Linked DNA regions of Callithrix jacchus. The protein of the gene in region 2 interacts with the protein of the main gene of each other region in a pairwise test. Links are inferred from orthologs where the notes say so. Each region holds a gene or a part of one and is shown on either strand. Other genes may lie near its edges. The genes, in order: LMO1, SOX5 and ARID5A.

The links.
Region 1: the proteins of SOX5 (region 2) and LMO1 interact in binary tests that used the Homo sapiens proteins (3 or more experiments, as listed by UniProt). The two-hybrid records come from large-scale screens. The link is inferred for Callithrix jacchus from reciprocal best matches to the Homo sapiens genes SOX5 and LMO1.
Region 3: the proteins of SOX5 (region 2) and ARID5A interact in a two-hybrid assay, tested with the Homo sapiens proteins (2 studies listed by BioGRID and IntAct). The two-hybrid records come from large-scale screens. The link is inferred for Callithrix jacchus from reciprocal best matches to the Homo sapiens genes SOX5 and ARID5A.

The regions. Positions count from the first base shown.
Region 1 is NC_133511.1:74,088,609-74,098,873, forward strand, and holds part of LMO1 (rhombotin-1), read right to left. Parts: intron 5,418-10,265; coding exon 5,204-5,417; intron 1,998-5,203; coding exon 1,872-1,997; intron 1-1,871. UniProt on the Homo sapiens protein: May be involved in gene regulation within neural lineage cells potentially by direct DNA binding or by binding to other transcription factors.
Region 2 is NC_133510.1:47,538,574-47,548,838, forward strand, and holds part of SOX5 (transcription factor SOX-5), read left to right. Parts: intron 1-3,508; coding exon 3,509-3,681; intron 3,682-5,995; exon of another isoform or gene 5,996-6,141; intron 6,142-9,465; coding exon 9,466-9,534; intron 9,535-10,265.
Region 3 is NC_133515.1:6,493,931-6,503,994, reverse strand, and holds the end of ARID5A (AT-rich interactive domain-containing protein 5A), read right to left. Parts: exon of another isoform or gene 6,195-10,064; intron 6,189-6,194; coding exon 6,073-6,188; intron 5,289-6,072; exon of another isoform or gene 5,076-5,288; intron 4,253-5,075; coding exon 4,108-4,252; intron 3,817-4,107; coding exon 3,755-3,816; intron 3,398-3,754; coding exon 3,300-3,397; intron 3,022-3,299; coding exon 2,862-3,021; intron 2,486-2,861; coding exon 1,277-2,485; 3' UTR 961-1,276; downstream 1-960. UniProt on the Homo sapiens protein: DNA-binding protein that may regulate transcription and act as a repressor by binding to AT-rich stretches in the promoter region of target genes.

The DNA.
Region 1 (10,265 bases), on a different chromosome or scaffold from region 2:
GGGGGTGCCAGTGAGTAAAAGGGGGCTGCAGACAGAAGCCAGCATGGCCCAGGAGGTGGTAGGGGAGTTTGTTCCTTGAATCTTCCAGAGGGAACAGATAAAAGTCCCTATAGCACACCTGGGCAATTCCCCTGGGCCAGCACCACCCTTGGCCAGGCCCTGCAGCCTGAGGTAATAGGACAGACAGACAGTTGAGCCTGGGCCACAGGCCTTCCACAGTCAGGTCTCCTGTGGAGGTGAGTGTGGGGTTGGAGGGGGTTGGTGGAGAGGTACAGGAACAGCCTACCCCAATCCCAGAGAGGGAGAAAGGGAAAGACAGACAAACAGAAAAAGAACAAGAGGGGAGAGAGATGGAGAAAGGCAGAGATGGAAAGGTAAGGAGGGAGGGATAGGATGGATGCTTTTCCATCCCTCTATCCCTCTCCCCAGTTTAAGAGGATGGCTTAATACAGGACATTCTTCCTCTAAACAAAATCGGTGGTTACCTGGAGCATCCTTCTAGGAGATGACCCTGTTCCACTATCTCCTCTCCTACCCAAGGAAGGCCCTTCTTTGGTCTCCTAGTCCTCCCCAAGTACTGGAAGATTCCAGTCCTTTCCCCAAAGATGTTCCCAGGGTGGGTGAAGCCCTTAGGGAGACCCCAAGATTGCTGGCCTAGTTCCAGCAGATCCCAGTCCAACCGCCAGGTGGCGCTGTAAGTTCACTGAGCCCTCCTAGCGGCAGGTCTGGCCAAGGCCCCCAGTCAGACCAGCGTTCCCTGTAGGTCCATCTGAACCTCACTTCCTACCTGAGCTGGGAGCTCCTGAGAAAAGCACCTGCCTTCTGGTTCTAGGCCCCCCAGGGCCTCCCACAGGGCTAGGGCACAGATTTGGGGCCAACAGATCAGAAAAGAGGCTGGGCTGGAACCAGAATCGCAAGGGTGGGGTCAGGAGAGAGTGGCCACTCCCTGAGGGGACTTTGCCCTCCAGATTTGGGAATCCCTTCTCACTGGAACATACATGCACACATAGACACACACCACACACTGGGTACAGGGGCATGAGGATACATTAGCCCATGTACATGCACTTTTAAAACAGGTATACAGGCCAGGGGCAGTGGGTCACACCTGGAATCCCAGCCCTTTGGGAGGATCGCCTGAGGTCAGGAGTTTGAGACCAGCCTGGCCAACGTGGTGAAACCCCATCTCTACTAAAAATGCAAAAAAAAAAAAAAAATTAGCTGGGTGTGGTAGCACGCGCCTGTTGTCCAAGCTACTAAGGAGGCTGAGGCAGGAAAATCACTTGAACCGGGTAGCGGAGGCTGCCATGGGCCAAGATTCTGAGATCATGTCACTGCACTCCAGCCTGGGCAACAGAGTGAGACTATCTCAAAAAAAAAAAAAAACAAAACATGTAAACACATGTATACTCACCTCATCGTGCACACACATTGCACAAACACACACACACACCCAGACATTTAAAAACACATGTATATCTGCATTTCACAGACATTTGAAAACATGTATACAGCTGCCTATTAATTCCATCATGCACATGTGCCCACTTGCACGTAACACATAAATACACATGCATGCACATGCATGCTCACTATGTATACACAGTAAACTCAGGCACACCTCCATTACATTCACACAAAAATGTGCCACACAGATGTGCACATCCAGTATTCGAGTGCACACATTTGGCTACCGAGCTTACACACACATACAACACATAAAGCACATGCACTCATAACCTGCACACAGCGTCACATACACACATGCAAGCTGCCTGTGCATGCACGTCCCCACTGTGCTCCTGGCCCACCCCAGCAGGCTTCAGGCTGGCGTCTCGGGAGTGTGTTGGGTCTGCCAGCCCAGCACTGACCTCTGGTTGCAGAGCTGGCAGGCGAAGCAGTCGAGGTGATACACGTTGTCCCGGGCCCGCATCACCATCTCAAAGGCTGGGATCAGCTTGCTGCAAGCAGCACAGTTCCCTGTGGTGCCAAAGAGCCTGCAGAGGGAAGGGCACAGAGGTCTCAGCAGCATTCTGGGGAACTGGGTGGGCAGGGGAAAGGACCCTCCATCCAGGGTCCTTCCCATCCTCCAGCTTGTGGGCTCGGCAGGTGGGCTCATGAAAGGGGGTAAGAGCACCGAGGGCAGCATCTATATTCTGCCCAGAGATCTGGCTTCCAAGAAATGGGCATATTCCCCTCCAGCGAGGGTATGTAGGTGGTCAGGAGTTGGCTGTAACTGCCCATCCCAAGGCTCCCTCCCAGGCTCCCACAAGGGTCCTCAAGCCCTGGAGCCACCAAGAGAATCCTAGGCTGGGCCTTGAACAAGGGCTCCAGACCCACACAAGCCTGAATTTCAGGGACAGATGGTGGATCCTGGGCTGAGTGTCCTCAGGCAAGTCAGTGAGTCTCTCTGAGCCTCATTTACCTCATCTGTTGAAGTCCAAAACACACCCTTCATGGGGTGCTTGTGAAACCCCTTGTAAATTCTCAGTCACAGCTCACTAAGCAACCACCTAGGCAGTGTTCACTATGTGTCAGTCACTGTTCTAAGATCTTTACAAAGATTAACTCTTCATCCTCGCAACAAACATAGGAGGTGATACTATTATTATTCCCCATTTTAAAGGTTTAAAAAATGAGTCACAGAGAGAACAGCTTGCACAAGGCCTTGCTCCAGAAGGTGTGCCCTAAACCACTGTGTGATGTTTTTCCTACCATTAACATTATAGTGTTTTTTATTTTATTTTTTAAAAATAGGATGGGGGTCTCACTATGTTGGCCAGGCTGTTCTCGAACACCTGGCCTCAAGTGATCCTCTTGCCTCAACCTCACAAAGTGCTGGGACTACAAGTGTGAGCCACTGTGCCCTGCCAAAATTAAAGTGTTTTATTAGATCATTTTTCCATGACAAACTCACTGTGTCACTTGCCTAAGTCTCTTTTTTTCCTTTCTCTGAACCTCAGTTTATCCTTCTGTAAAATAGGGATGAATGATCGTATTCAAAGATGCTGTAAATCAGAACTGATGCCCAAAGGAAGCTCCAAGGACATCTGGCACAAATGCCTCTTTGAGGCAGGCATCCCTCCTCTTAGCTCCTGGCTCTAAAGCTCTAGGGACAGGAAGTTTACTCTGTCCCCATGCAGGCCAACCCTTGGCTGGATGTCCCAATGGTCTGAGCCACCCTGGCTCCTCCTTGCTTCTTTCCTGCACAGGGATGGAGCAAGCCCCAAGTGAGGCAAGGAGGCTGAGAAGTGGGTGGGAAGCCCCTCTAATCCCCGATTTGTCCAGCTCAAGCTCAGGCACCTGCAGATGAACTTGGCTCCATTATTCATCAGCTTGAGCTGCCTGGTGGCTCAGATTAAGGCAGACAAAGGCTGGGCCACAGCATCTGCCTGCCAAGAGGGGCTTTTCTTGCCATCAGCCCAATGAATAGGGCCGCAGAGGGCGCAGGCTCTGGAAAGCCATTCTGCAGGGCTGAGCAGCTCAAGGAAGCCACGCTCCCATCCCAGCCCACTGGCTTCGCTGGCCCTACAGTCATTCCTTGCCTCTGCCAGAGCAAAAAAAAATTACCTCTGTCCCTAGTAGCTGCTAGGGCCCTGGATGCTTGTGGGTGCATTTTCCTGACAAGTGCCTACTGCACTGTGGACCTCCCCCTCCAAGTCCTGTAGAACCATCCCATGGTCTGCCACGTTGTCCTACCCTGGAAGGTTTGTTCCCAGGTGATGCCCTAAACCTCCAGACATGGAGGCCTCTTCTAGGTCCTCAAGGGGTGAATTCCCAGGAACATTCTTTCTTTTCTTTTTTCTTCTGAGATAGGGTCTCACTCTGTCACCCAAACTGGAGTGCAGTGGCACGATCACAGCTCACTGCAGCTTCAAACTGCTGGGCTCAAGCAATCCTCCCACCTCGGCCTCCTGAGTAGCTGGGATTACAGGTGTGCAGCTATTACACCTGGCTTCTTTTTTTTTTTTTTTTTTTGTAGAAATGGGGTTTCACCATGTTACCCAGGGTTGGTCTCAAACACCTGAGCTCAAGTAATCCGCCTGCCTCGGCCTCTCAAAGTGCTGGAATTATAGGCATGAGCCACCATGCCTAGCCTGAACATTCTTCTTTAACCCCTGCTCCTGGCTTCAGCCTCTCCGCTCCAGCCCTAGCCAGGAGCACCAAGTCACAGATCCTGTTTTACTGCATCACCTTTAAATGCCGGTGTTAAAGAGAAGGTGCAGGCAGGTCAGTCAAAGGATCTTTGGGGAAGTGGAGGAGCTTCCACTGATAACCTCCCTTTTGCAACATGCCCAGACATGGGCAGAGAGAGCCCCATGAAGCCCTTGCCCTGACCTGTTAATTAATGCTATGGGCCCTCCTTCCCCACAAGCCCAGCCACCATCCAGCAGCCTGCGACAGAGCCAAATGCAGGTGCTGGGTCTCAGCCAAGGCCCTGCTTTGTGGCCTCCTTCCAGCCTTGCTGATGTCACAAATGGCCTCAGGGAGGGTTAATTGGGGGAGGCAGCCCCAGGGAATAGGATCCAGGTTGTGGGGAGGGTGAGTGAGAGCTCAGAGGAATGAAAGGCAGGGAAGTCTCGTTCTTTCACCCTTTATGGGGGTGGGGAGTAGTCAACCGAGGCTGGGAGAAGGTTAGGAGCCAAAGGCTCAGAGCCAGTTCCAACCCAGGTCTTCAAGCTCCAGCAGCAGTGGCCTTGCTCCCAGGATATGGCTACCTGCCAGGATCTCTGGGCAAATGGATGCCTGCTCCCAAGGACCACCTGGAAAGGAAGGTTGGGCACTGGGAGATGGGTCAGAAGGAGACTCCATCAGGGAGGAGGGGCCCAGGGAAGTCAGAGCTTCCAACCTGCTTCTCAAAGCCCCTCTAAGGTATCCCCTCCCAGATTCCAAAACAGGTGGGTCAGAAGCACCTGGCCAAGGCAGAGGCAGAGGCAGGCTGGGCCTTAGGAAGCTTAACTCAGGGGCCCAGGGTTACACATGCCTGCCCTGGACCTGTGTTGAGCACTGAGTCCATGGATATAGAGACCTGGCCTGCCCTCAGGCAACTTCTCAGACAGCTGGGGTAAGCAGCGCAGGGGCAGGACATTCAAGAATGAGGCACACACAGGGTACTGGTGGAGGGCCAGGGGCATAGTCACAATGGGGCTGAGGATGGGGGTTTTCTGAGCAGGACAACGGCTCAGGGGCGGGGGGGGCCCACCTCAGGTAGTCGCGTCGGCACAGGATGAGGTTGGCCTTGGTGTAGAGGGTGGAGCCCACCTCGCCCAGGCGGCAGTCGCAGCAGGCACACTTGAGACAGTCTTCGTGCCAGTACTTGTCTAATGCCTTCAGCAGGTAGCGGTCCTTGATCTTGCGGTTACAGCCTGCACAGCCCTTCTGCTTCCCTTTGGGCTGGACGGACAGCATTGGCACACCTGCAGATGGACAGAGAGACAGCAATGCCAGATGGGCCCTGTAGCTCTGGGCCTCAAGCAATATCCCCCAAGAATGGGGAGCTCACTGCTTTCTGCTGCCTCCTCTAGGTTTGGGGCTCCCAGGAGCCCTTACTTTCTCCCCAATAACCTCCTCCCCTGGCTCTGGGTCCTGCCCTTTGGGCTGCATGGCACAGCCTGTTCCCCTGGCCCTGTGAAGGTCCCTATGGAGGCTGATCTGCTCCAAGGCACACACAGACCCCAGGCCTGGCCTCCCTGAGCTGTTCCTCCCAACCCGGGCCTCTATCCCCTGTGCAGTCTGATCCAGAGTAAGCCTGAAGCCTCCCCTTGCAAGGCCACCATCACATCCGCTCTTCTAGCAATGAGCCTAAGAAATGTGGTCTCCTCAGGCCCGTGAGGTTCACTAGAACCCCCAGATCTTTTTGCCAACTTGTCTTTCTCAAACTGATAGGCTACAGCCTCTTGTGCTAACCATGTAGAACTGTGGTGGCGTCATGAAGGAAGTGAGATGCCCCTAGAACACTCCCAGGAGGGGACAGCGGCTCTGGGGGTCCTGGCAGGTAAGAGGATGCAGCTGGTGGGGCCTGGCCGGGGCTCCCCTTGGGGACACTTCAGGTGGTGTCATACCTCACCCGTTCTGGCTTGGGGGAGGGCAGGCTCTGAGCCTCTGGATCCTCCCTCATTCTACCAGGATTAGGATCTCTCAGGCATCAGCCCCTCCCAGGGCCCATACCAGCTTCCCAACATACACGCAAGCCCCAAGCACAAAGGGCAGAAGACCAGCATGAGGTTTACCACGGGGCAGAGCCTCCCGTCTCACAGGCAAGCACGTGTGCTCACACACACCCCTCACGCGCAGGCATGCTATGCAGGTGTAGGCACGAAGTGACAGAGGCACAGGTTCCCAGTCCCTCCTCCTGAGACCACAGTGACAGCTGAGAAGTATAGTAGCCTGACAGATGTATAGTAGCCTGGACATCCATGTGGCTCTGTGAGGCTTGGAGGGAGGTGCAGAGAGTCTCAGAAGCCCTGCTCTGTGACTTTGCAGGGCGGGAGCCTGTGGGACTTGCCTGAGAACCCTCGTGAAGACAGGGAGGGTGTGCATGCTCTGTCCCTGACTCAGGTGCAGCTGAGTTGGGGAGCGGGCTCTGGGCCGGCCCCTCCGGCTTTCCAGCACTCCCCCGGAGTCTGTCCTCCCACTGGCCCCATCCTCTCCAAAGGACCCCAGCTCTCTCCAGGGCTCTGGCCTTCCTCCCATCCCCTGGTGTCCCTCCCAGTCCCTACCCTCTCACTGCCCCCAGCCTGCAGTGTGAGCACTTGGGCCGCTTCTCTTCCTTTTACTTCCCTCCTCCTCGGGCATCAGGGGACAACCAACCACAAGACGCCTTGGTATCAGAATCCACAGATGTAAGGTCAGGAGAACCCTTAGAGTTCTTCCAGTCAAATGCTCTCATTCTACAGATGGGGAAACAGGCTCAGTTACAGGGCCTTGAGTCAGCACTGGTCAAGCAGCCCCAGGGCTCCTTCCCCTCTCCTGTGCTCACTCTCAGCCTAGCTGCCTCCTCAGACTTCTCCTGGACAGATGAGCCTGGGGAGCAGGCACCCACCCACAGGCTGCAGGGCGCAGGGCCAGTGGCCCCTCCTCCTCCCTCCAGGCCCCACAGGGCCTGCCTGTTAGCTGGGAAGTGTGCTGCCTAATTTCCTTAATGCAGCTCTAAAGGTTAATTGGTCTGAGAGTGGGATGGGGCACAGGATGGCTGTTCTCAGGCTTGCCTGTGTCTCCTCCAGCAGGGCCCAGCCTGGCACACAGCTCTGAAAGAGCCCAAGGAGGGCAGCTGGGGAGCAGGTACCCCCGAGAGCTGAACAAGTCCTGGCCTACAGGGAGGTGTGGGGAAATGGGGCAGGGGTTAAAATAGCTGATGGGGAAATGAGGGGGCTCCCAGGGTAGGACCTGGACCAGGGTGGGGCTCCAAGGGCAGGGCCTTGTCCCTAGGCCCCATGCAGGGATTGCGCCTCCAGCAGAGATACACATACAAAACCAGCTTGGAAAATGCCGGACCAGGCCCCTGATACAGCCCCTAGAAGGCTGATGTTCCTTTGCTCAGCCCAGCTCACTGCAGGCCTGGCTCCCTTCCCAGTGGCCCTGAGCCCCTCCCAGGGCCCTAGGCTTGGGCTATTACCAGAAGGTGGGTAATGGCTGGAGCATCCGCACTCGAGAGACTCTAGCTCTCTAAATTACAGCCCAAAATGAAGGGAGACCATGAGAGACCCCAGCACTTGAAGCACCTGCCCCACCCTCTCTTCCATTGCCCTGGCTCTTAGACAAGCTGGTCTTCCAAGCTGGGCCCCCAGTGTGTTTTCCTGGCCCCCGCAGGGCTGTGAACTACAGCACTAGCCCACAGTCTCTCCATTGGAGAGACGGGGCATCCTGAGGACCCTGTGGAGCCATGAGGGGCGAAGCTGCCAGCTGCCTCAGGCCCCTCCCTGCTGCCTATGCCCAGGCTGGCCCCTGCACAGGCAGGTTACCTTAAGACCTGGACACCCCTCTTCTGGGGTGCCAAACTGACTGCTGGGCTCTGGAGAACTCTTAAAGAAGCCACACAAGCAGGCTGGGCAGTGACTCAGGCCTATAATCCCAGCACTTTGGGAGGTCAAGGCAGGTAGATCACGAGGTCAGGAGTTCAAGACCAGCCTGAACAACATGGAGAAACCCCATCTCTACTAAAAATGCAAAAAATTAGCCAGGTGTGGTGGCACGTGCCTGTAATCCCAGCTACTTCTAGGGAGGCTGAGACAGGAGAATAGCTTGAACCCCGGAGGTGGAGCTCGAGGTGAGCTAAGATAGCACCATTGCATTCCAGTCTGGGCAACAAGAGCAAAACTCCATCTCAAAAAAAAAAAGAAGCCACACAGTTTCCGCCAAAGTGTCCCAGGTCCACCGAGACATGGAACACCAGGGTCAGCCTGGTGGAGGCCCCAGAGTGTCTAGAGACCTCCTGGTGAGAAAGGCTGGTGTCCTGGGGGAAGCCTGAGCCATGGCGGCCCAGTGGGATAGGGTTGGGACCAGACTGCAGGTTTGCAGTCCTGGGGCTGTGGGTCCAGAGTATAACTCCCTAGTCTCTCTGGGCCTAAGTTCCTTCATCGGCCCATAAGAAACATTGAAACAATCCCCTGCTTCTTACAGGTGGTCTGGGGGTCAAACAAAACAGTGGAGACACCCTCCCTCATGGGACACCCATGCTGTGTCTGCACTCACCGGCTGGCCACTGAGACTTAAAACACTCCTGGAAAGCGGGAGGGGCTTTCAGGCGGGGCTCTGCAGTCCGCTCCCCAGATGGAGGGATAAGCTCCCCACAGGGTCTGGGCCCTCCCTCATGCCCTGCCTCCCCCGGTTGCCACCTAGCCCCCCAGTCAGTCCGCCAGCCTGCCCCTGCGGATACCTCTTCCCTCCCTCCTTCCTCAGCCTGGCTCTGGGACCTGAGCCTCAGGCCATGCACTTTCCATTAAGGAGATAGCATCCCTTTGCTGAAGTCCATTTGGGATCCATTTTAGTGTTATCTAAAAATCAAATCTACATGGTAATCCTTTTAATGTACTCCTGACTTTAGAAAAAAAAACCGCTTTGCGCTCCTTCAGGAAAGGTTTTAAAGCATTACCCAGTAATTACTACTCACCCATGAAAACACTGATATTTTACAATGGCTGATGTTTGCACCGACGCGCACGCCTGGGCACATACTCAGATGCATGTGCTGCGTCCAGCAGAATAAACCAGCCCAATCAACTCAGGGTCACCCCTAAGTCTCAGGATGTGGGGGGAATGACATTCGAGGGAAGACAGGCCGAACTCCAACCCCTACCTCTAGCAGGAGGCAGGGCTGCTGGAGGAAGGGGGCAGCCAGGCTCAGAGAGAAGCCTCCCAGTCTGACTCATCTGGCTGCCAGACACTCACCCTCAGCTCTTTAATCTGGGGAAGAGACAGACACTCCAGGTGACAGGGAGGGAATGCTAGAGGTCATCCCGCCCCTCCCACTCTCTCCCTCCAGCTGAGAGGAGAAACGCCCTGGTCTTCACATGGACCCCAGAGTAGTCCACTGGGCCAGACCCAAGTCCCCAGTGACTCTTGCCCACCTGTCCCAGCCCAGCTGCCCCTCAGCTCCAGCATGTGGACTTTTCCAAACTGCCAAGCCCACAGGCTCCTACTCCGGCTTGGATGGCAGCCTGGGGGACACCTACCCCAGTGAGCTCCTCCAAGGCCAGTCTTCCAGCCCAGAATGTCAACCTCACCCAGCCCCAGGTCACTCCAGGCTCTGCCCTGCAGATCCCCTGCTGGGAGCTACTGTGGCCACCCCCGGCAACTCCACGGGGCATCTGCGGCCCCTGCCACACACCAGTGTGTTCTGCTGGGCACTGCTGGCCCTGCTTCCCACAGGATCCTGGAAAACAGCTCCCCTCCCTCCCACAAATGGATCTTGTTTGCTTCTGTCCGAGGCCTTCACTCTGCTACTGCTCCAGGAAGAAACGCCTTTGTCCTGCCCATCCCCACTCTCCTCAAAAGGTCAGAGTCGAGAGCGTGGCTGAGGCTAAGAGTTCAGACCTTGAAATCACAGAGCCTAGTTTCAAGTCTGGGAACTGCTCCATGGTGCTGGAGGCCTGGATTGAAGCCCCCACCTTCCGGCTTTAATGTGTGTACTGGGGGCCATAGTGGTCTCTTTCCAGTAAGAGTGTGCTAAGGATAGAATGAGATTATGCGCATCAACCCAGGGCGCAGTGAACAGGAGCTGACCGTAGTATTAGCCCTTACCCAGGATCCCATCCCTGCTCAGACAC
Region 2 (10,265 bases):
AAAAAGATGACAAAAATGGCAGTGAAGATAGAGAAGGGAGGCTGGAACAAGAGCTCTTTTTAAGTCAGTACAGCAATATTTATGTTATGTTGTCATTTGTGTAAAAGGCATTCTTATGGGCTGATCTGTGCACCTTCCCCCTGCCTACCAACCCTAATTCACATGTTGAAGTCCTAATGCCTAGAATCTAAGAATATGAACATCTTTGAAGATACAATCTTTACAAAGGGTATTAAATTAAAATGAGCTTATTATGGTGGGTCCTAATCCAAGATGACTGGTATCCTTATAAGAAGAGGAAATTTGGACATAGATATGTACAGACTGAGACAATGTGAACACAGAAGACAGACACCTACAAGCCAAGGAAAGAGTCCTGGAACAGATGAACCCTGCCAACAACTTAATCTTAGACTTCTAGCATCCAGAACTGTAAGGCAATTTCTGTTGTTTAAACCACCCAGTCTGTGGTACTTTTTTATGGTAGCCCTGGCAAACTGATAGAGAAATGTTATTGTATATGCATAAGTCTGTGTTAACAAGAAAAAGACACACAAAAGAATAATAGTAATGGTTACTTTTGAAGGGACAGTGTTGGAGATCTTTTACTATATTTCTTCATCATCATAATTTACTAATATGAACAGAATATTGAAAAATATAATTTTAATTAAAATTAAAGGAAAAACAAACCTATTTTGAGAAAAAATTACTGTGATTAGTTAATATGACCAATGTAGGGATGGGTAGTTGCTAAGGAAATTGAAGATGTTCTTAAGTATTTTAGAATGCTGATTGGTGATAATGCTTTAAAATTACAGGAAAATGGTGAGTTTTACTCTATGCTTGTTGAATTTTATGACTGAAATACACCCTCAGAGATACCCTATGCTGCATCTAAATATTGGTTACTAGGGCTGGGGGACAATCTTAGGGTTGGCACCTATATTATTTCATTGACTATGAGACTATGTGTTTTAGAACTCAGTAGGTTAAAATATGCAAAGCATTGCTGAAATATAGTGCTTAGAGGTTAAAACATGTTAGTTCAAGGCCAGAAAATATAAAGAATGGGACTGGGAAGAGTATGGGCATTTATGGGTGGCAGACGAGGAGTTAGGGAAAAAGATTGAGAAGAAAAGGTTAGCTAAGTAGGAGTTGAAATAGAATGAAATTGTGTCCGGGAAGTCATATGAAAATGCTTAAGATGCGACAAGGTGGGCTGAAGGTTCAAAAAGTTTGAAATGAATGTGGACTATAAAATTAGAAATTTTAAGTTTGAAATAAATCTTATTTACTTCTTTATGACTAAGTGAAAACAAAAAAATATTTTGTTAAACTTTCATATACTTAATGACAAAATGATATTTGTTAATTCTCATCACCAAATATATACAGTTGACTCTTGAACAGTACAGGTTAGAATTCCACAGGTCCACTTATATGTGGTTTTATTTTCCCAGCTAAACACAGATCCAAAACGTAGTATTCACAGAATGTGAAACCCTTCTGTAGAGGGCTGACTTAATTGGATTCTGCAGGACCAGTTGTAGGTGTTGAATATGCACTGATTTGCTTAAGCTTTTAAGTTATCCTTTCCCATGTTGAGGTGAAATACAATTCCTGAGTTCAAGTGATCCTCCCACCTCAGCCTTCCAGTAGCTAGGATGACAGGAGCACACCACCATGCTCAACTAATTAAAAAAAAAAATTGTGTAGAGATAAGAGTCTTGCTGTGTTTTCCAGGCTGATCTTGAACTCTTGGCCTCAAACAATCCTTCTGCTGGATCTCCCAAAACATTGGAATTATAGGCATAAGCTCCTGCACCCAGGCTTGGGCTAAATTTCTAAAAGCAGAATTATCCTTTGTAGGTTATGTGCATTCTAAGACATGTGTATTGCTATTCCTAGTGTGTATTTCTTGAAATGTGGTAGAAATTTACTGCTCTACTAACAATGTAGGAAGATGTTTATCTTGCTAGCATATGAATATTTTCAGTAAGAAAATCTTTTCAGGATATATTTATATTATTTAATATTAGGATATAATAGTCATGTGGCTATTATTCATAGAGTGAATGTTCATTCTAATGGAATCCAACTATCTGAGATATAATAAATTATTAGCAGCACATTATAGACCATCTGCCTTGAATAAGGATAGGCATTGTTAATAAGAAAGAGTATGCGAAATGGTTACTGCCTTATTCACACATTTTCTTTTCTGGATATTGTTGTCTAGCCTATATGTAAAATACATTAGAACCCTTATTTCTACTCCAAATGTGTGTATAAAAATTATAAGCTACTAACTATAGCTGCTACTTCCTAAAATAGGACAAACTCTTTTAGCCTAAATTGGTAGGAGAAATGCACTGGGGTTAAGAAGGGTGACTGAGTTATAACAGATCCTTCTATCTAATTATGTATACAGGTGACAAATGCAGAAGTAAAATAGTGCTTAGTGTCTTATGTTTGAAGTGAAAATTGTAATTAAAGAGGGTGTTCTCTCCTACTGGTAGTGCTTTATCATAGGGACTTTGTCTATATTGTGAGTTTGAAAAGAACAATTAAAAGTGATACTGTTTCTGTTTCAGTGAACAGCACACATTTCCCTTATATTAAATACAAATTTTAACTTAATAAGATTAATTGGCATGTTTTAAATAAATTGAACAAAATATTAAATGATGACCATGACTTCTCCAAATCTTGGATTTATGCATAAGCTAACGCGATGATAGTATGATGCCAATTTGCCAACCATGTTGTCTCACAATTGGCATATTTGTGTTCTCAAACTTAAATATTTGCTCAGTTAACTATATTTTATTTTTAAAGATAGACTCTGAATTGGCCTATGGGGAATACAGTCTAAAACTTGATTGGCTAAATAGATATTTGCTATCTTGTAACATAGAATTCCTTAGTTCTGAATCTTTGTTTTTTTTTTTTTTTTTTTTTTTTAAGAAATGAAGAATCATATCACTAATACTAATGCACTGACCTCTTAATAACTATAGCTATTAATTTTTTAAGTCTTTGTCTTGCTTCTTTATTTAGATGAAAAACTATTATATTTAAAGCCAAGAACTATACTTTGGACATTGTTTTATTTCCAGCAGGCTCTAGCATAGAACATTAAAAACAGTAGATGCTCAGCTAACATTTTTAAAATTTACTTATAAAGTAAAATTTTTCAGAAACTATAGATTATTACTAGTCATAAATGTAAAAACATTCAAAATGTTTGCTCATTCTGGTACTTTGGTAGAAGTCCAGTGTTCTGTCTATTGTGCCAGAGAGCCAGGTTCATTGTGGTACTTTGTAATCAGTAAATTACCATCACTTTTTACTGTTGAGTGAAAATCTAAAAGAAGGTAGGTAATGTTTTTGTGTTCATTGAACTTTATATTTGGACTAGCTCTGCATACAACAGAGTCGTTTTCATTGAAGTAATCACTTTTTCTGATTTAGCTTGTCTGTTTTATTGCCATATTATTTTTAGGGACTCCTGAGAGCCTAGCTGAGAAAGAAAGGCAACTCATGGGTATGATCAACCAGCTGACCAGTCTGCGAGAGCAGCTCTTGGCTGCCCACGATGAGCAGAAGAAACTAGCTGCCTCTCAGATTGAGAAACAGCGTCAGCAAATGGAGCTGGCCAAGCAGCAGCAAGAACAGGTGAGTAAGAACTAGTGATGCAATCAAATTATTCAGACATTGCTTTGCCTGCTACTTATAGGTCACTGTACTGGGTACACAACAATGAATAAGAGTCCCTTCCACCTCCCTAGTTAAATAAATTAAAAGGCAAAAAAAAAAAAAAAAAAAACCCACCCACAGATAAAACCCAGATTTTAAGATGCTTATTAACTACTTTGGTGGTAAGTAGCTAGAAGTAATTATAATCAAGGTAAATTTTGATAAATCATGAGGAAAATACCAAAAAAGAACCATGGGGAGTCAAGAGAACGTTTTCAACAAGAAACATTTTGAATGAATTTATTAGAGAGCTGACATTTGAGATGTGCTTTGAAGAACTGGTAGGCTTCAAGAAGTAAAGTGAGTTTCCAGTTGGGGACAGGAAGTTCAGTTACAAGGCTATTATAATACTTTCAATTAAAAAGGGTGAGAATCTAAATTAGTCGGGTAACCATGGACAAAGAGAAAAAAAGGAATAAACAGGTCCACGAGTTATGGTTAGTAGAATTCTTTGAGTAGGCAAAAGGGAAAGGAAAACCATTGAGCCTAATAATAGGGAGATTGAGAATGCCGTCAGTAGAAACAGAGGCAGTCAGGAGAAGAGCAAGTTTGGAAAAGAAAGTAGTTTTATGATGTTGAATTAAAGTTGCTGTCAGGTTGTCCAGTTGGAGGGATGTGAGAGACAGCTAGAAATACCAATCAGTACTTTGGAAGAGAGCTCAGTTGTTTCTTATTTACAGAGAAATGGTGCTTTAAACTGCTGAAGGAGATAACATTCATTCATTTATTTGACAAACAGTAATCAGGGCTTCCTATGTGCCAGGCACTGTACTAACTAATTGCTGAGGCTATCTCAGTTAACCAGAGAGATAAAGCCCCTACATTTTAGTGGAAAGAGAGAGACAGATAAAGGAACAGATAAATTAACAAGATGACATTATATAGTGATAAATAATTTGAAAAAATATAAACACAGTAAAAAGTTAGATGTTGGTTGCTATGACAAGGAGCATTGGCTCCTTAGATGGGGCTGCTGGATGTTTCTGAAGCTTTGGCAGTTAAGCTCAGAACTAACTGATATATAAGAGGCAGCCATGTTAATATTAGGGACAGGAGTGTTTTATGAAGAGGTGTGGCAGGCTTATAGGCCTTAAATTACAATGGTAATAAGAAAGCAGAAAGGAACTAAAAGTGGGTCCTTGGGAGGTACTGGCATATATAACTGGCAGAGAAAGGAATATGAACATATACAGAAAGAAAGATGTGGAAGTGGGGCCAGGAGTGCAATGTATTGGAAACAAAATGGAGATTTTAAGAGATAATAGGGAGCAGTGTTAAATGCTGTAGAAGAGTAGTCATTCTAATAATCAAATTGAAACAAGATTTGTCATTTAGATTCTCATTGTCGGCCTTGAAGAGTGAGGCTTCTATGGTGTTTTAGTAGCCGAAATCAGACAATAAGACTTGGAAAATGCATAGTAGGAAAATGGAGGCAGTGCCTATGAACTATTAAAGAAATTGGTAGTAAATGGAAGGTATGATAGAGGGGAGGTGTCATAGTTTCACCTTATGTAGAAGTATGGCTCTCTTTTTCATGGCTAAGTTCTTTTCCTGTTCCATGTTCTAGACATATTCCACAGACCATCCCAAGTGGAGGATGGCCACTATTTAATATTTGCATGTCTACATATCCTAGAAAAACCTTCTAAACATCTTTCCAAGTACAAGTTAGCAGGGTTGAATGACATGAAGAAATACTCAGTTTATGTTTGAGGAGCTCCTTTTTTCCATCCCCCTATTTTTCTTTTACTCTTCTCTGCTTGGTGGTTTATGGTTTATCTCTGATTAAAAGTTGTTAGTTTTATTTTTAATGAAGTGCCTCATCACTTTCATTAAAGATGTTTTTGGCTTGTTTTTGGATATGGCCCATATGCTTTACCCCTATGATAGAAGAGTTTGGAATGCTTGCCAGTAACAGTATAAAACAACAGCACTCTTTCCTTGTCCTTAACTCTGAATCTTTCAGTCAACTGAATTCTGGAGAATCCTAGGAGTCTCCGAATATGTAGCTTGGCCGGGGATATTTTTTGTAGATAATCTCTATTTGCTTTGGTGGGCCTGAGGGCACACATGTCCTGAAAGATCTAAGCAATGACTGATGGAGAGGAAGTTTCTTTTTTTCTCTTTTACATTTTGGCCCATCTCTGAAGATCATGAAAGGATTCTAGAATCCTTTGATTCTAATAGTTTCCCAAGACCGCTGACATTCTTCTTGGAACTTTACAAACCCCTAAGTTCTTCAAGAATTTCTCTCCTGTGTAGGAGAGATGTCCTGCGGTGCTGCTTCCACAGCCTGGGAGAAGATCCCGGGTGATAGCCACAGGTCATGTATCTAGAGCCCATTCAGCTCTCCCAGCGCTTCTCCACCATACATAGCAGGTATGCACAGGTACCACTCTGTGGTAGCATATTCTTCCATGAAGGGCATTTAATACTTATTCTTTAAGGGTCAGGGAAGGTGCATCTTCTCCTCTAAAGTCTTTTTCTGATACTCCTTCCAGCACTCCCTACTGAGTGTCAGATGTTCCCATTCTGTGCATTCTAATACTCCTGATGTAGCTGTTACCAATGCCAGAGGACCTGTTTACTGACGAGCCTTTCCTCCAGATTCTGAGCTCCAGCCCACATTCATCAATTAGACAAATATTCATTGACCACCAATTTGATGCCAGGTTTTGTTCTAGTTAGTGGGAATAGAATGGGAAATAAAACGGACAAAAACCCCTCATATATTGAAATCTAGCTGAGAGGGGTAGACAATAAATAAACTGTAAACTATATGTTGGTAAGTACTATGTTGAAAAATTAAGCGGGGCATTGGGAATGAGGGTATTATCTATGGGTTTATGTTCTTTTAAAATGGGTGCTCAGGGAAGACATTATTGACTAAAAACATTTGAGCAGAAACCTGTAGGATGTATGGGAATGAGCCATGGGGCTATCTAGGCAGAGTATTTCAGACAGAGGAAAAAGTAAGTGCAAAGGCCCAGAAGCAGGAATATCCTTCAAGGCAGGAGCATGCTTGGTATGTAAAAGAGGCAGTTAGGAATGCAATGTGGCAGGTGTGGGATGACAATAAAAATTAAAGATGATATGAAATCACAGAGGTAAAAGAAGGCCAAATCATATAGGGCCTTGAAGGCATTATATGCACACTGGCCTTTTTGATGAGTGAGAGAAAAGAGTTTTGGAGAGGTGAATAGCATAACATCACACACACATATACATATATATGTGTACATATATATATATATTTTTTTTCTTTTTCTTTTTTTGAGACAGAGTCTCTTACTGTCACCTGGGCTGGAATGCAGTGGTGCAATCTATGCTCACTACAACCTCCGCCCCCCAGGTTCAAGTGATTCTCCTGCTTCAGCCTCCTGAATAGCTGGGAATATAGGTGCCTGCCACCATGCCCGGCTAATCTTTTAGTCTCACTATGTTGGCCAAGCTGGTCTTGAACTCCTGACCTTGTGATCTGCCTGACTCGGATGCCCAAAGTGGACTTATATTTTAAGAAGTACTCTCAGGATGCTGGTTTGTGATAGACTATAGGGAACAGGAGCAAAACACAAAGAGCATATGGAGGCCATTACAACAGTCCAGACAAAGGCACAGTGAACAGAAGAAAGTGCACAGGAGGTTGAAGTAGTCAGGTTCTGGAGTATTCTGAAAGTTTCATTAAAATGATTTAAATGGCAATTGAAATATTGATATGTGGGAGGAAGGAATGAGACTTAATAGAAAAGATAATCTTTCTTCTTCTACTGTCTCCTTTATCACTTTCTTCAGGAAAAATAATTGTGGGTCAGGCATGGTGGGTCATGTCTGTAATCCCAGCACTTGGGAGGCTGAGGTGAGTGGGTCACCTGAGGTCAGGAGTTCACGACCAGCCCGGCCAACATGGTGAAACCCTGTCTCTAGTAAAAATACAAAAAAATAGCTGGGCATGGTGGTGGGCACCTGTAGTCCCAGCTATTCAGGAGGCTGAGGCAGGAGGATTGCTTGAACCTGGGAGGAGGAGGTTACAGTGGGCATAGATCATACCATTGCACTCCAGCCTGGGCAACAAGAGTAAACTATGTCTCAAAAAAAAAAAAAAAAAAAAGAAAGAAAAAAACTTTTTTTTACCATAGTCCAAAGATAAAATTAAAGTATTAAAACAATTATAATTATACCAACATCCATAAAGGAGGTAAAATTTTTTGTGTGTAGCCATGTAGACTCATCCTCATCACGTGGGTTCTCTACTTTTATTCATGGTGATGTATCATTTTTTTTCCTGTATTTTTTACTTTTGGATACAGAGGCTAAGATTTTTTTTTTTAATGAAAATAATGGCGATTATTACTTGATGAGAATGAGATCTAGAACTTATTTATAAGACAGTGATAAGTTTTAAGATGTTAGAAGTTACATCCTATCCCATGCGATTAAATGTTTACAATTTTCATCTCATCTATTAATGCATTCTTCTTATCAGATGTCCATTCAGCATTCCTTTATAATGGACTTCCTGTGAATAGTGATTAAAATTTACATGGCCTCTACTATCACTGAATTTATAGACTTCTCCTTAGGAGACAGAAAGATGTGAATAACAAATAAATAAACAAATATGAAGTCATAGCATGGGCATAATGTTAAGTAAATGTAGGGAGTGTTGTAAGTGCAAACAACAGTGGGTATGGGAAGTCATTGTGCTGTTCCCTAAGTTAGGAAATATTTAAGATGACTATATGGAAGGCTAAATCTCAAATTTAGTTTTGGGCCTGTTGAACTTGAGGTACCTTTGAATAAGTCTCTCAATAAGTGGATCTGATGATTAAAACAAAGATCTAGGCTAGAGAAACAAATTTAGAAGTACTTGGCTTACGTGTGGAAGTAAGTACGAAGGAAAAGAGCAAAAATCTAAAATTGAGAGAATTACAACATTTAGTGGCTGGAAAGAGCCATTAAAGGTGACTAAGAAGGAAAAGACATGAGAGGTAGAAATGAAACCAGGGAAGTATGATGTCACAGAAGCCAACAGAGAAAGTTCATGATCAAAGGAAAGCATTTGAGTGTTGAATTCTGATGAGACATCAAAAGGCGAGAACTGATAAATGCTTCAGAATTTTTAAATAATGGGTGTGATTGACAATCTTCTTAAGAATCATTCTGGTAGAGAAATGGAAACAGAAACGACAATGGTATGTGTTGAGTTGGTAGTTAGGGGTTTGTGAGAGGCAGTAATGAGAAAATTATTTATCTAAAAACAAAAAATTACCAAAAACTTTACTAATAAATCCAGTGTCTTGCAATACTTTGTGCTACTCTGAACTCCTCAGTCTTAAACCTACCCCTCCCCATTTGTGAAACACTGTTATAGAAAAAGGCTGAGAATGTCAGAAGCAGCGCCTTCTTAAGGTATCACTAAGAAGAGGGATGCTTGAAAACCAGACATTTCTTTCTGGGGTTGATCACTGTCATAGTGTCTTAGGCTTCATTTGTTTTAGGCCAAAAGAAACATAACTGCTTCTAAAGATTGAATATCTTCCTTGATCTTACTTAGTATGAATTGCTAAAAGTTTAGGAGCACAGACACATCTATTTTCATCATCTTATTCAATGTCAAATCAAACTTAGAGAAACAGAACATTAGTAACTTCCCTCTGGGACTACAATATACTTGTAAATTTCTCATGTGCAATTTCTCCGCAGATTGCAAGACAACAGCAGCAGCTTCTGCAGCAACAACACAAAATCAATTTGCTCCAGCAACAGATCCAGGTCAGAAATCATAATTTCAATATACTTATAATTTAAAAATATATATATTCTGTTTCTTATTCTTAAATACCTAACTGAAATGACCTCCAAAATAAAAATTACTGCCATGTGAATCTTGCAAATGGTGTTTGTCAGTCACAGGCCCTATTGTGTCAGGGAGCTTCAATCTAAGCAAGCTAATAGTTATTTTCATCTTATACTGAGAAGAAATTATTGTTGATAAAGGTTTCATTTTCTTTATATGTTACTGTTAAAATGTGTCTATAAGTGTTCTTAACTGGGTAGGGGCAGGGAACCGAAGCAGAAAGGTACCTAGGTTTTCAGTTAAGAGGAGTGCCAGAGGGAACTTTTTTATTATATACCCGAGAGCCATGTGTGATAAAGGTGGAGCATAGGGTCGATAATAATTTGGTGTTCAAGTCAATTTACCCGTGGTTTTGCTTGGAGAAAACAAGGCTGAAGGCCGTAGGACCTCCATATTTTTATTATATGGAAATTTGCAATAATAAGGGGCGTCAATACAGAATGAAGTCGCTGTATTGATAACAAAAAGAAAAAACGTTTCCAGTGATGTCTTGTTTCCACCACTTGCTGGTGTCATAAACTTTGACAAAAGTTCACGTTTGTTTCCCTTCTGACAGTTTAATTTCTGAACAGCACTTATTTCACATAGAAATTCCTGAGGATTAAAGGAAATCATGGATAAAGAGCCTTAGCACAGTGTCGAGCAC
Region 3 (10,064 bases), on a different chromosome or scaffold from region 2:
AGTGCTCTCAGCAGGGACCACCACCCTCTGCCCTCCACCCATCACAGGCCTCGCTTGGAGGGCAACTGAACTCCCCTCCACAGGCTGCTCCTGAAAGAGGCAGCTGGGGGCAGGGGCTGGATAGGGTGCCCTTTTGGCCTGACCGACTACGCCCTCCTGTTGGGCATGCTGCATGTTCCCTGGCTGGGTTCTATCATCATGGAGGTGGCCTTGGAAAAGGAAGACCCTTCCCATTCCTGGCCTCAGCCTCCCTACCTGCAAACTATGTGGGCCCCTCCCATGGCCTGAGATCAAGAGAATTCCAGCAGCCCCAGTCCCAGAGGGCGGGGCAAGTTCCAGCAGTGAGGGTTGGAGCCGCCTGCTGACCTCCTCACACCTGCAGCCTGACATCGGTCCTCTGCTTGGCCAGCAACAACCCCAGCTTTTCCAGGCCGCACCAGGGCACTGCCCTGGGGCCTCTGGGAAGCACAGGTTTTTCCAGGACTACACGTGAAGCTGTTTGGCACAGGCTGCTTGTGGAGGGAAGGGAACAGTGCCTCTGAAAGGAGCCTGCCCTCCCTCCTCCTGAGCACCACCAAAGCAGACCGATTCGGGCTTCCTGCTCAAACCCAAAGACCTCCAGGAGCAATGGTAACAGCCTGAGGTCCTGCTCGGAGCACAGGACTCCCTGTGCAGACTTGCCAGGGGAATCTGGGCAAGTCACCAACCCTCCCAGGGCCTCCAATCCCTATCTCCACAATGAGGAAGGCAACAAGCATTCCCTGAGGTTCAGCTAGGAAAGCAGACTGAAGGCACAGGATGGGTGTCAGAGGCTGACTAAATGTGGGCAGAGGCTGGGGTTTGCTTTGGGCCTGCTCTTGTCCAGGTCCACCTCCTTGGCCCCAATGGCAGCCCCACCCACAAGCTCACCCCTGCACCTGCCGTTGCAAAGGTCCACACCACACACACCTCAGGACTATGTCAATTCACATTGGTGTCTTTTATTGGACTTTCTGTGGGCAACCTGGGTGCTTTGAGCTCCACTCTGGGGCAATGGGAGCTGCCCACCCTCTCCCAGAGCCTTACAACAACTGGGTCTGCTCCTGGGCTCAGGCTGTTGCCTTGAGACAAACCCAGTTTTCCCACTGCCTCCTTCTTTGCTTGTGCCAGGCTGCCCAGCCACAGTCATGGACTAGGTGTCCTGGGTAGTGGGCACCAGTCCAGAGCGCCCTTGCAGCAGCACCTACCCATCACAGGCCCTAGCCAACTCCACAGCACATGCGACACATGGGCTGGCCTACAGCTTGGTGTGGAAGAAATGGGGTGCTGCATAGGTTGTGACTGGTGGTGCGTGCCAGGCAGATGAGGCTGGGCAAAGTCTGTGGCGGAGGGCACTGTCGAAGGACGTGGGCGGGAAGTGCATTAGGCCAGTGGCCATGGGTGAAGGGCCTGCAGTGGCCAGGAATTGGGCTGGGAAGGCTGGGATGACCAGGGGGCTAAAGGGGAGTGCAGCCTGGCCCTTCAAGGGGTCCAGGGTGCCAGCGAAGTTCAGCGGGCAGTGCAGCATAGTACCCTTGTAGGCCTCTGGGGGCATAGGCCCCAGGGCTGGGCCCAGCAGGCAGGAGACCAGGCCAGATCCTGCAAGTTTGGCTCCACACTTCTTGGCATCCGCCTCCTTAAGAAAGGGAGACACAGCCCGCAGTCTCTTCCCACTGTGGGCAGCACCCTCTTCCTCCAGGCTGCGCTTGCTGCCAAGGCCTGGGCTACCGAGGAAGGTGGATGGGGGCGCGGGGCTCTTGGCCGGGACCTTGGCCATGGGAGATACCCAGCAGGCTTTTGGCTTGGGGTAGAGGCTGCCTTTTCTGGAGCCACCTTTGTGGAATGCAGAAGGGTGGTTGGCGTCCCCACCCCACACCAGCTGGGGCTCTTTCACTGACAGCCCCTCTTTGCCAGAAGGCCCCAATAGCACCCCATCTTTAAGTCTGGAGAAGAAGTCCCTGGGGTGCTGGCTGACAGGCTTCAGCACTTCAGTGGGGTGGGTGTGGAAGCAGCCTGTGAAGATGGGGGCTGCCGGGCAAGGTCTCGCCTGTACCTCCTCCCCGAGGCTACCACCTGGGGCCTGCAGTCCCTCCTGAGGGGTCAGCTGGTGCCTGGAGTTCTCAGCCAGCCCTTTGGGGCTCTGAGGACTCTCTGGGGGGTGAACAGCTGGGGATGCCTGGGGGTCTGCCCCATGGCGACAGCCCTCCTCCTGGCACTGCAAGGCCTCCACCTTGCTCACCTGGGCCAGGAGCTTCTTTTTGGCCAGTGGTGACATGATGCCATGTGTCCCCTTGCAGTAGAAGCTGGATAGGAGCCGTTTGTAGGCCTCAGGGCAGCCGCTGGCACCCACAAAGGACATAGAAGATGCAGAGGCCGGGCTCTGCTGTTCTGTGCTGTTTCTGGGGGACTCCTGGCTAGGAAGAGGTGCTGGGTTATCGACATCTGCTTTGGTGTTTCCTGGCATCATCTGCAATGAGAGAAAGCCATGCCTCAGGGCTGCATGACCTGTGCATCCCGACCTGGGGAGCAGGAGGAGGCACTTTCAGTCCTGCCTATATCCCCTGCTAGCCTCTACAGTGCCTCTGTGCAGAATTTTCCAAAGGTGCCCTGTCCTGTGAGTGGACACAGCCTCGAGTCAGGACACAGGGCCTGGTGGGTGGGCGGAGGCTGGAGTTCAGAGGCCACTTGCACAACCGTCTGTGGAGAACCTGGAACCCTGCAAGTCCTGACCTGGGTGCAGTTTCTGTGTGTTCTGAGCAGACAGCCCTGTGGCTGCAGGGAGTTGTGGGGTGGGGACTGCAAGAGGCAGGGGACAGGGTGGCTCCAGCCAGCTGTAGGCCTACCTGGTCCACGTGCCGCTCCTCCTTGGCCTTCTTCAGCCTCTCAGTGGCCCCATCATCCCCCCTGTTCTCCTTGGCCATCTTGTATTGTTTCCTGGGCTTGGAGGTGGGCAGCGGCTTGTCATCCTCCCCCTTCAGGTGCCGCACGTATGGCAGGACCAGCCTGGGGAGGAGCCAAGCATGTCCCCCAGGAGGCCGGCTCCCATTCCCTCCACGGGCCTCTGCGACTTCCTCTAAGCGACAAGGAAGGCCCTCTCCTGGCCCCAAAGCTTCAGCTCCCTAGGTGATTGCGCCCAGCCAGCTTGGCCTCCTGCAGTGCTAAAAGCTAAGGACGGCGCACACACCTCCTGTTCCGGGCAGAGTCCACCTGGCACTCCCAGCACGCTCGGCCAAGGCCCCGGAGGGCAGGTGGCCTCTAGCACCCGGCCCACCCCACTATACCTCTCGTAGTGGCGGCGTGTGCACGTGGCTGCGCTGGTGCTACCCGGGCTGCCCCCCAGCTCGTCATACACGTTCTTCCAGAGGCGGCGCCCGGTCACCTGCAAGGGCACCTAGTGAGGGTGCAGCTGGTGGGCGCCCCCTGGCAGCGGGATCCTTGCCGCTCTGGCCCCCTTCGCAGGGACCCGGCAAGGACTGCAGTTTGGCAGCTGCCCTGCAGCTCCAGCAGCGGCTGGCCCATTCTCCCTCCCAGGGCCAAAGACTGCTGGCCCAAGCAGTTTTCCCAACACAGGTTAGGCAGGACAGATGGGGAAGGCTGGAAAAGCTGCTTTGAGCAGCAGAGTACCAGCGGGGGAGGTGGGGAGGCAGGGGCAGGACAGGGGATCCTGGCTCTTCCTCTGTCCAGAGGCTGCAGGCTCACCCCAAGAAGATGGAGTTTGGTAAGGATTGGGAGGTACCTGCCTTACCAGCTCATAGGCCCCCAGTTTCTCCACTGCCTTGTAGATCTTCCACAGGTTAACTGGGGGAGAGAGGGGCAGGCCAGCAGTCAGTCTCTCTGGGAAGTGGGGGCAGCCTGCCACCCCTTCCTAGCACCCTGTCAGACGGGCACAGACCAGCACACACCAGCCAGGGCCACTGCAACGAACAGGCAGGCTATGCCCTGTGCACTGCTGGCCCAGTGGCAGCCTGGAGGGAAGCCTCCTTTCTATCTGCAACCTGGGTCACCCAGAATGGGAGTGCCTGCCCGATGCCCTGCCTGGGTGGGGTCCCCTGCTGGGCCCCCCTCCCTGCCTGCACCCCAGGAACGCACTCTGCTTGAAGCCAAGATGGGGCACCCTCTCGATGGGTGTGTGTCGCTCCTTCATGAACTTGTAGAGGCTGACCAGGAAGGCCTGCTCCTCCTCCCGCTCCTGCTCCTGCTCCTCCTCCCGCTCCCCGCCTGCCTCGGGGGAGTCCTGGGGAGAGAACAGGAGGCATTGGGATGGGCCCCAGTTGGTGGCTGGCTGCTGAGGATGTGCAGAAACCACTGGTTGCAGGAGGAATAAAGTACCTGCCCCAACCCCAGTTTCCCAGAGAGCACCCAGCCACTATTCTGGGACAGAGTGACTGTTCCTGGGTTCGGCAGGCACAGGTGTCAGTTTTCAGTGCCCCAGGACAGGGGCTGGAGTCCAGGACCTCCCCAGAGCAGCTGGCTCCAGAGGCCAAGGGAGCAGTCCCCAGCCTTCTCCATGCCAGGGTCACTTCTCTGTCTTGCTCTTGATTTATCATATATGTGTCAGCTCCTCTGTCAGACTAGGAGCTCCTGGAGGGCAGGGCTCAGTGTCCCTGGGGCCCTCCTGAGGGAAAAGCTGAAGGAACAGAGGTGCTTGGTGCTTTCTGGCACTGTGGGGTCACTCTGTCAGGCCCACATTCCCAGAGCCTCTACATGGCCCCAGCCTGCCATGCTGAGCACAGGGAGGTGAAGCTCTGGGCCTCTACTGCACACTGTCAGGGACACAGGACTTTTGTTGTGGGTCCCAGAGGGGCAATCTCTGCTGATGCCATTCATCCAGCAAGTGGCTCAGAATAGAGGGGTACAGTGGGTTGGGGCTGAAAGCCCAGGACCCATACCCTGGCACAAGGTAGTCTCCTACTTAGAGAACAGACAGCTTCCAGAACACAAACCATCTGGACTAGAACAGTGCAGAGAGCCATGTGTTCTAAAAATATTTTATCCAGCTGGGCACGTGGCTCACATCTGTAATCCCAGAACTTTGGGAGGCTAGATGGGCACATCACCTGAGGTCAGGAGTTCGAGACAAGCTTGGCCAACATGGAGAAACCCCATCTGTACTAAAAATATAAAAATTAGCCAGGCCTGGTGGTGCCTGCCTATAATCCCAGCTACTCGGGAGGCTGAGGCAGAAGAATCGCTTGAATCCAGAAGGCAGAGGTTGCAGTGAGCCAAGATCGTGCCACTGCACTCCAGCCTGGGTAACAGCGAGACTCTGTCTAAAAAAAAAAAAAAAAAAAAATTAAATAAATAGATTCAAGTTTATTTCAGTGTTATTACTATTTTTTTAGTTGTAAATAGCTTCTATAATAGTTCAGTGTTTTTAAGGTATTAAAGACCTCTAAGAAGAAACAACATACAAACTCATGTCACCTATGAAATCGTAGCATGCTGGGGCCCGGGGATGATCTGTGCAGACCTCAGAAGGAAGGCTCACTCTCAACTGCTCAAGTGAATCTGCTCCTCCAGGCCTCTATTCTGAATTCCAGGCAAGCTGCTAAAGACGACTACCATTTGCAACCACTTTTCTGCATGAATCGGGATACTTTTCCAGACTGTGCCACCAAAGTAAATGGTGGCATGAAATGAACGGAAGCTGAGCTCGACTGTGCGCCGAAAAAGCCACCTGCAACACCCCCTTCAGATTCTGTACTCATTGAAACAGCCTTGGTTGTTGGTCTCGTGGAGTGACTTTATATGCCCACGTTATGCATCGAGATGAACAGATGTGAATGTGGTTTTACAATATGGGCTGGAACTTTTGTCTGTTTTATGGATGGATCAGGGTGGTGGGTCATCTTCATTTGAAAAAAGGGTTCTGCTACAAAAACCAAGATTGAAACTCTCTGCCACAGATGACAAGTGAGTCCCCTGGCTGCCAGGCAGGGCTGGGACAGGAACATGTCTCAATTCCTGAGAGCTTGGGGAGTGTCCAGGTTTACCCGGAGGCTAAGCACAGGTGAAGGTGGCAGGGAAGAGTGCTCAGGGAGTCAGCCAACTCACCTCCAGCAGGATGGGGTTCTGGCTCCTGTTCTGCTCACCAGCAGGTTTGGGAGATGCAGGTGGGTCTAGGGCATCACCCTCTGTGGACTGCTTCCTGTTCCCTTTGACAGGGGCTGCTGCAAGGAGAGAGGGAAGAGGGAAGGAAGGAGGAAGAGGTGGGGAGAGAGCACATGAGATGCAGGCAGGGAGGAACAGCAATCTCCCCAAGTCCAATCAGAGTTGCCAGAGGGTGCTGGTGGTGCAGGGGCTAACACCTGTGATCCCAGCACTCTGGGGGGCCCAAGCAGGCCATTGCCTGAGGTCAGGAGTTCGAGACCTGCCTGGCTAACATAGAGACCCTGTCTCTATTTAAAAAAAAAAAAAAAAAAAGAATTGGCCGGGGGTGGGAAGGGGCATGTCCCTAGCTGCACACAGGCTATCCTGCACACATGGGCACGCACACGCACACACACACACACACACACACACACACACACCCCTCGCCACTCCCCAACCCACTGCATCCGCTCCACACCCCTTTTCTTTCCTCTGCTCCAGCTATCTCCCCACATCTTTGAAGGAAACGCAAAACCACCTTGAGGTCAAGTCAGAGGAGGCTGGGGTTGGGCTGTGGTGCTTGGGGAAATCCTGTCTCCAAAAACCATGCTCAGACACAGAGTTCCGAAGCAACTCAGCCTCACTGGAGAGCTAAAGGATCCCATGGATGTGGCCTCAAGGCACCACAGGGGGTCCCTGGGTAGTAGTTCCTCCAGGCATACTAGGGAACATCTGACCTTTCCCTGAGAATCTGCAGAGTTCTAACTGCTCTAATTAGGCCACATGTTCCCCTCACCTGCAGGAGTCCTGGTGGCCCCTCAGGTCTCTGCTGACAAGTGTCTTTCTCTAGGTGGCCTCCTCCGGCCCCTGGCCACAGACATCTCCTCCATTGCCCTCGGCTACTCACAGTTATCCTGGCATCCTGGCTTAACTGCCTGTGGCTCCCAGGGCTCCTTGATAGCTCAGTGAGGCTTCCCATGCCCCACACGGCAGGTGCCAAGCTGGAATGAGCAAGGCTCACACCAACCCTGAGTAGTGGGCAGGAGAAGCCATGGCCTCTATTTTACTAAGAGCCACCATGTGCTGATGGTTTCAAAAATGCAACACCTCCACCACTGCAAAAAACACAAGCATTGGAAACTGCCTCAGGCCACATGGCAGGCTGGCAGCAGATACCAGACCAGGAACCCATGTCTGACAACCTTTTCTTTCTGTCCTTTTGTTAATTGAGTATGAACTGTCCTGTACTCTTGGTTCACTTCAGCCCAGAAAATCCTTATTGTTGGGAATCTGTGAGATTTCCCTTCCATCCCAGAGAGAAAAAGAATCTCCTTGGGAACAAGAAACCCATACTAGCATGAACCAGGGGCCAGTAGTACTCAGAGGCACGGGGTAGAAGACTTGGCCACTGAGTGGTCCCACTTCGATAGGTGTTCATGTCTTGCCTCCATGTTGATGGTTGCTGACTGATCAGGGTGATGGTGTCTGGGGCTGGGGTGACTGTGGCAATTTCTTAAAAATAAGATGACAGTGAAATCTGCCATATTCATTAACTCTTCCCCCCTTCACCATTTTTTTTTTTTTTGAGACTGAGTCTCGGTCTTTTGCCCAGACTGGAGTGCAGTGTTGTGACCTTGGCTCAGGGCAACCTCTGCCTCCCTGGTTCAAGCGATTCTTCTGCCTCAGCTTCCAAAATAGGTGGGACTACAGGCATATGCCACCACACAGGTAATTTTTGTATTTTTAGTTGAGACGGGGTTTCACCATATTGGCCAGGCTGGTCTCGAACTCCTGACCTCATGATCCACCCAACTCGGCCTCCCAAAGTGCTGGGATTACAGGCATGAGCCACTGCACCCGGCAACTCTTCCTTTCATGAAGGATTTCTCTGTGGCATGTGATGCTGCTTGACAGCATTTTATCCATAGCAAAACTTCTTTCAAAACTGACGTCCATCCTCTAAAACCCTGCTGCTGCTTTATCAATTAAGTTTATGTAACATTCTAAACCCTTTGTTGTCATTTTGACAATGTTCACAGCATCTTTGCCAGGAGTAGATTCCACCTCAAGAAGCCACTTTAGGATGAGCACGGTGGCTCATGCCTGTAATCCCAGCCAGCACTTTGGGAGGCCAAGGTGGGTAGATAACCTGAGGTTAGGAGTTTGAGACCAGACAGGCCAACATGGCAAAACCCTGTCTCTACTAAAAACACAATAATTGGCCGGGTATGGTGGCAGGTGCCAGTAGTCCCAGCTACTTGGGAGGCTGAGGCAGGAGAATCCCTTGAACCCAGGAGGTGGAGGCTGTAGTGAGCTGAGATTGCACCACTGCACTCTAGCCTGGGTGATGAAGCAAGACTCTGTATAAAAAAAAAAAAAAAAGCCACTTTCTTTGCCCATCCATAAAAGCAACTCTTCATCCATACAAGTTTGATCATGAGATTGCGGAAATTCAGTCTCATCCTCAAGCTGTACTTCTAACTCTAGTTCTCTTGCTTGTTCTACCACATCTGCAGTGAGTTCTCCACTCAAGTCTTGAACCCCCTGAAGTCATCCATGAAGACTGGAATCACCTTCTTCCAAATGCTTGGATATTTTGACCTCCCACAAATCACAAATGTTCCTTAAATGCTCTCCAGAGGTTTTCAATGTACTTTGCCCAGATCCATCAGAGGAATCACTATTTATGGCAGCTATAGCCTTACAAAATGTATTTCTTCAATAGTAAGACTTGAAACTTGAAATTACTTCTTGATCCTTGGCTGCAGAATGGATGCTGTGCTTGCAGGCATGAAAACATGTATCTCCTTGCACATTTCATCACAGCTCTTGGGTGACCAGTCGCCTTGTCAATGAGCAGCAATATTTTGAAAGGAATGTTTTTTCTGAGTGGTAGGTTTCAACAGTAAGCTTAAAATACTTAGTAAACCATGCCATAAACAAATGTGCTATCATCTGGGCTTTGTTATTACATCTTTATCACAGGCTGAGTAGATTTAGCATAATTCTTCAAGGCTCTAGGGTTTTTGGAATGATAAATGAGTAACTTAAAGCCACCAGCTGCATTAGCCCCTAACAAGAGAGTCAGCCAATCTTTTGAAGCCAAGCGTTGACTTCTCCTTAGCTATGAAAGTCCTAGATGACATCTTCTGATACAAAGCTATTTCATCTACATGGAAAATCTGTGGTTAGCATGGCCACCTTCATCAACGATCTTAGCTGGATCTTCTGGATAAATTGCTGCAGCTTCTACATCAGCACTGGTTGCTTCACCTTGCACTTTTATGTGATGGGAGATAGCATCTTTCCTTAAATCTCATGAATCAATCTCTGCTAGCTTCCAACTTTTCTTCTGCACCTCTCTCAGCCTTCACAGAATTGGAGATTTGGAGCCTTGGTCAGGATTAGGCTTTGGCTTTAGAGAATGTTACGGCTTATATCCAGACCTCTCAAACTTTCTCCATTATCAGCAATAAGGCTGTTTCACTTTCTTACCGTGTGTGTTCACTGGAATAGCACTTCTGATTTCCTTCAATAACTTTTCCTTGGCATTCACAACTTGGCAAACTGGTGTAAGAGGCCTAGCTTTCAGCTTATCTGGGCTTTTGACCCGCCTTCCTCACTAAGCTTAATCGTTTCCAGTTTTTTATTTAAAGATAAAGACCTGTAACTCTTCCTTTCATTTTAACACCTAGAGGCCATTGTAGGATTGTTAATTGACCCAGTTTCAATACTGTTGTGCCTTAGGCAATGGGGAGGCCACAGAAGAGAAAGAGGAATAGAGATGGGGAATGGCTGGTCGCTGAAGCAGGTGGAACAAACTACATTTAGCAATTTCGTTCACTTTATGGGTGGAGTTCATGGTACCCCAAAACAATGACAACAGTCATGAAAGATCACTGATCACCATAACAGATATAATAATAATGAAAAAGTGGCCGGGCGCAGTGGCTCAA